Saccharomyces cerevisiae S288C: one gene and its partner. Changing the gene in region 1 together with any one later gene gives a genetic interaction. Each region holds a gene or a part of one and is shown on either strand. Other genes may lie near its edges.

What was found. Genes that interact genetically often act in the same process or in processes that back each other up.
Region 2: mutations in FAR3 (region 1) and YLR456W together harm fitness more than expected from each alone (negative genetic interaction), as found in Saccharomyces cerevisiae (2 studies listed by BioGRID).

What each region holds. Positions count from the first base shown.
Region 1 is NC_001145.3:377,486-381,278, reverse strand, and holds FAR3 (Far3p), read right to left. Parts: upstream 1,694-3,793; coding exon 1,079-1,693; downstream 1-1,078. Other genes in the region: STB2 (Stb2p), read left to right, coding at 1-933; YMR051C (gag protein), read left to right, coding at 2,954-3,793. UniProt on the Saccharomyces cerevisiae protein: Participates in the control of the reentry into the cell cycle following pheromone treatment.
Region 2 is NC_001144.5:1,053,522-1,056,184, reverse strand, and holds YLR456W (pyridoxal 5'-phosphate synthase), read right to left. Parts: upstream 1,116-2,663; coding exon 501-1,115; downstream 1-500. Other genes in the region: NBP1 (Nbp1p), read left to right, coding at 1-373; PDP3 (Pdp3p), read right to left, coding at 1,642-2,556.

The DNA.
Region 1 (3,793 bases):
AGTTCTTCCAGTCTTGATACATCTGAAGACATAGGGAGGACCAATGCTATGCCCTCATCTGCAACAGTGTCATCAATGTTTCCAAACTACGATAATACCAAATATGCATATAATTTTGGCATCAACAAATTATATCAAGGAGAATACTACCGAAGAAATTCGTTTCCCTATTGTAAAGATCGCACACACGACAACATTTATGAAGATCTTTCAGAGCTGAAGGAAAAGTCATCTCGTTTGTATAGATGCAACTCTTCTTCTGCTGTACAGAATATTGTGGAAAAATGGGATTTACCATTTGATCCATCTGTTGTTCGAATAGCTAGAGATTTGTTACGAATGAAATACGACATCCAAGCGCAGCAACACATACAAGAAATGGATGAGCATTATATGGGTAAATTAAATAAGGAGGGAACTGTTGGTCAGTACTCTAAATTCAACGAAAGATATAAAAGACTGCAAGAACTATATAAGAAGTATTCAGATGGTGCAAAAGTGTTTGAAGGGAGATTTGAAGACATTGACAATAAGCAACAACTTCTTCTCCATGAGATGCAAGAGTTAAATTCCTTATCATCTAGGTTGAAATATGATATGAGGATATTGGAAGTTCGTGTACGAGATATTGAAAGTAGTGTTGCTCAGTTTGATTCCAAATTAATTGGGTTGAAAAGCTCTCTTCAGGGACAGGGTAAAACTGGAATATGCTCTGCAATAGATCCCAAGAGTGATAAAGACGAATATGATAGATGCGTAAATGATTTGATGACCACTAACAACCCCACCTATGAAGCTCTTTGTTTAAAGATGCTGAGCCGCCGTTATTTTAAAGATTTAAAGAATGATACTGTGGGGTGGTTCAGGTGGTTATTTGGTAATAATTCTTTACACAATAATGCCAGTGAAGACGATAGAGGAATACGAGTATGATTTTTTTCGGTTCATCCTAATTTTTTTTTTTTTTCAAAAGGGATCTAAACATTTATCCGTTGTTATAAGTATATTAAAATATATAAATGCATTCAAAGGTTTGCTATTTCACGTCTGCTTACACTTTTGTTCGATCCATCGTAGGCTATTTCAGTACCTGGTACGTGTCTTGCAGGTATTCCAACTGTTTTTTAAAGCGGCTGTAATCTCTGGAATCTTTAGATATACGATCCCAATCCACTTCCTTCAAAAGTTTTTCAAACTGTTTGATAATTGAATGCAATTTTTTTTTTGTTTCTTCATTTTCTGTCTTCAATGACTCGTAATTTTGTTGAAGACTTTTGTTCCTTTCATCAAGCTTCTCTGATGAAAATGTGGCAATATTTCGTTCTCTTATTGCATTCTGTTCGTCGATAAAATTTTTAATATATGAGAAATGCTCATTTATGTTGTTAATTAGCGCAACAGCCTTTGTATTGAAGTACTCTTGTTTTTCAATCTCGTATATGAGTTTAAAATTTTCGCTGATAAGCTTCTGTGCCTCAGTGGGGGGAGATGCTTTTTGAGATGCATTATCTTTCCATGAATCTGGAATTATGTTTTTGCTCAAATTATCATAAGATATTCCTGACTGTTTGGCAAGGCGCTTTAACAATAGTTCTATTCGATCGGTCTCTTGTCTGTTAGCCCGACACTCTGCACTTAAAGCTTTTGTTAATTGAAGAAGATAATCGAAACTATCACTACCACCGCTATTCATATTTGCAAATCACTATATATACTGCTCTGTGCGAACTTATGATGGAAAAAACGAGCAAGAAGTAATAAATCACGGTTTAACTTTCTTCATTAATCGCCGAATGCTAGCCGGAGCTTTGAATGAACCTTTTATTGTGGTTATATTGTTATACAGGTGTCAATATAAACAATAAAAGTTGAAGCGGTGGCTCAATGGTAGAGCTTTCGACTCCAATTAAATCTTGGAAATTCCACGGAATAAGATTGCAATCGAAGGGTTGCAGGTTCAATTCCTGTCCGTTTCAATTTATTTTTTAGCCCTGTGCTTGAGATTATCGTCGACAATGACCAGCTATAAGCTGGCAAGATTGATGCTCTAAAACGCGGGGAATAAAATAATCAAGATGATTAATTGTTGGGATTCCATTGTTGTTAGAGCCTACAATATTAGGTACACAGAATATACTAGAACTTCTTCTCGAGGATGTAGGAATCGTCAAAAGGGAATCGATAGTTTTACGTAACGATATTACTTTATGTTCTTTCTGTTGGAATGAAGCTATAAAATATCATCTGTTCAGTAGTATTCATGCCACTCGTACATTATCATATACAGTGTAAGAAGATGATCTAAACATTGAGAAACAGTCGTAAAATTTAATGGAAGCAGAAATATAAGGATTGATAATGTACTAGGATAATGAAACATACGAAAGGGAGGGAGAAATAATTGTAATTGTATTATATAGGAGTATCGATTCCAATTTGAGGATTGGTATATCTCTCAGGGGAAATTTTATTATATTCTGTACACATAATAAAATAAAGCCCTTGCGAACAATAGAATCCCAACGGTTATCAAATTATTCACAAATTGATCACTTCCTTTTTATACTTTCCCTCTCGCTTCTTATTACATTATCAATCATTGCATTTCAGCTTCCCCTAAATCTGGTGACTGTTTCTCAATCTTTAGATCACCTTCTGTTGGAATAAAAATCCACTATCGTCTATCAACTAATAGTTATATTATCAATATATTATCATATACGGTGTTAAGATGATGACATAAGTTATGAGAAGCTGTCATCGATGTTAGAGGAAGCTGAAACGCAAGGATTGATAATGTAATAGGATCAATGAATATAAACATATAAAACGGAATGAGGAATAATCGTAATATTAGTATGTAGAAATATAGATTCCATTTTGAGGATTCCTATATCCTCGAGGAGAACTTCTAGTATATTCTGTATACCTAATATTATAGCCTTTATCAACAATGGAATCCCAACAATTATCTAATTACCCACATATATCTCATGGTAGCGCCTGTGCTTCGGTTACTTCTAAGGAAGTCCACACAAATCAAGATCCGTTAGACGTTTCAGCTTCCAAAATTCAAGAATATGATAAGGCTTCCACTAAGGCTAACTCTCAACAGACAACAACACCTGCTTCATCAGCTGTTCCAGAGAACCCCCATCATGCCTCTCCTCAACCTGCTTCAGTACCACCTCCACAGAATGGGCCGTACCCACAGCAGTGCATGATGACCCAAAACCAAGCCAATCCATCTGGTTGGTCATTTTACGGACACCCATCTATGATTCCGTATACACCTTATCAAATGTCGCCTATGTACTTTCCACCTGGGCCACAATCACAGTTTCCGCAGTATCCATCATCAGTTGGAACGCCTCTGAGCACTCCATCACCTGAGTCAGGTAATACATTTACTGATTCATCCTCAGCGGACTCTGATATGACATCCACTAAAAAATATGTCAGACCACCACCAATGTTAACCTCACCTAATGATTTTCCAAATTGGGTTAAAACATACATCAAATTTTTACAAAACTCGAATCTCGGTGGTATTATTCCGACAGTAAACGGAAAACCCGTACGTCAGATCACTGATGATGAACTCACCTTCTTGTATAACACTTTTCAAATATTTGCTCCCTCTCAATTCCTACCTACCTGGGTCAAAGACATCCTATCCGTTGATTATACGGATATCATGAAAATTCTTTCCAAAAGTATTGAAAAAATGCAATCTGATACCCAAGAGGCAAACGACATTGTGACCCTGGCAAATTTGCAATATAATGGCAGT
Region 2 (2,663 bases), on another chromosome or scaffold:
ACAATCATTACAAGAAGCATTGAATTACTCAAATGAGAAGTACAGGATTTTGGAGGATTTACTAGATTCTTCAAACATTCATCCATCATACACCAAATCTAGGAGAACCATGTCTAATCTAGCTAGAGAAAACGATGAGATTAAGCCCTTGAAAATTGATCTTTCCCCGTCTCCAATAAGAAGAACGAATTCATTATTCACTTCCAGCCCCATGAAAACATATAATCGGGATGGAAATATACCAGAGATGCAGCCGTTACAGGAAAACATATCTCCCGCCTGTCCCACTCCACCCTATCGTTCAAGGGAAACTGAAAAAGAGGATGAAACACTTTCACCAATCTCAGTGGACTTTTCAAGTTATTTATCTTAATTTCTCCTGTGAAATTAAAAGTATTCTCCATATATGGAGCGCGAAGATCACGGCCTAATCCTCATGATTCATTTTATAGATGCTTTATATAATAATTAGAGTACACATAGTTTTCATCATATTTCCGTTAAACTGGTTGTACTGTTTGGCCGTATGTAGAAGTATTATTTTCCATGTCAGAGACTTTTATTTTTTGTATATTTACCTTTATTATGGCTGTATCTTCTCCTAGTATAAAAATATCTGCGTCTGGATTGACTGTTAATAACAACCGCCTATAATAAGTAGATTCTTCACTATTAGGGTTCACAATATCAGCAATACCATTGATAGTAGCGCTCACTTGATTCAATTCACTTTGGTTCAAATCTCGTAAAAAGTTGTTAAATTTTGTAGACTCTGACTCAACAAATGAAAAATCATCTTTACTATGGACGCTTTTTTTTCGAAGAGTTAAATTTTTAGCTGTGATCCAATCGTGAAATAGCAATGCAACGTTTGGGTTGCTCATGACATTACGAAAGGTTACTGATTTCTCGAACACTGTGAATATAATATAGTCATTACAATCTATTTCTATACTATACTCATGTTTATGGAAAGTTTCCGCGGATGAAACAAATATGTAATGCATCAACGAAACAGATGGTATACAATTTGACGAGCATGTCGCCACATGAACATACTTGGAACTTTTAATCAGGCGTAACAGGTCTTTTGGTATTTGTTCATTGAGTTTCATCTTTAAAGGCTTGAGAGATTTGTTTTTTTAAGGTTTACTTTCCTTTGCAGAATGTTGCATAATTTTCACTATCAATTATACGTTTTTCAGATCAGACGCCTGCAACCCTAATTTTCGCACTCTGAACTTCGTATTTATCGTTTATTCAGTATAGAAAAGGAATATCAAATTTGAAATTCTAGATAATATTTATATATATGAGGTATCTAGAAGTGCGTTAACATTAGTGTTAACTGGGCTGCACCCACTTGTGACGTTTAAATTTCTGTCCCGGGCCTTTATCGTTTCTAAGCGCTTTGGTACGTCACAAGAGTACGCCTGATATTTTGTTGTGACATTACGTGTATGACTTATTAATACAATTTTTATGGATGGATAATTAAATCAATTTAATATTACCATTTGATGAAAAAAAGAAGGGAAACAAAACAAACGGTAAAACACTGTTTATTTGAAATGAAATGAAATGAAACAATATTGGATATTGAAACGTTGATATATTGAATTGATTCAATAAGTATTATTATCAAGGCGTAGGTAGCGCTTGCAACTTTTCTTTCTTCAGTTCTGTGATTAGGTCTGCCCAGGACAGTAAAATTTCTTTACAAAGTGGGTGAAATTCGCCTAAGTCAGGATCATTAACAATTGCTTTCAGTAGCTTGTGTAATTTGCTTTCGCGTAGGGCCTTCAAATCAAAAAAGGGCCGTTTGGTGTCAGAATTCTCATATATTCTATTTAATAGTTCATGAGTTTCCTTGATCTCATGCTCAGTAGGAGGTGTTTCTCTCTGGATTAGATTTCTTTGAATCCTGCGGCGAAATAACTGTGAAATTTCTACTCTTCTGGAATAGTCTAATTTAACTTTCTTTTTATTGCCACTGTTTGATTTTCCTCCCGAATTAGCTGTGGGTCTCTTTTTTTTGGACGGTTTGATGTTCGGTTTGCTTTCTTCTTCATTTGATTTCTGGTTATCTTCCGGATCTTCTTTGATGGATATTGAATTTTTTTTTCTTTTATTCACTACTTTTGTTCGACCTACAAAGGGATCTTCTCCGGCAACGATTTTAGAACCTTCACTTTTCTCAAACGCTTTTAGATCACTTAACCTGTTTTCTTCTTCAAACTTTTCTTGTAAAAATACGTTGAAATCATCAAAATTTTTTGCTTCCTTATAAGCATTGACCAATTCCCTTTGGTTTGCATTTTTACTATGTTCTAATATGAAATTGTGAATGCTGTCTTGATCTAGCTCCTTTAATCTACTGGGTTGTTCCCAATAATAAGTTGGATCGTTGAAAAAACAAACAGCAACACAATTGGATTTTCTCTTTCTATATACATCGTTTCGCAGCAAACGCTGTGGAAATACTACAGCTGGCCAAGGTGGAAACGAGCCAACTTTGCATAACACTAAATCGCCTGTTCTAATATCTTTTGTCATAAACTTGCGGACCAAACCAGGGATAGCTAATATCACAAAAGAAATGGAAGTAAAAACAGAAAAAAATAAAAGGGAAAAAAAGCCAGGAGGAGCAACGACTGTAGGTC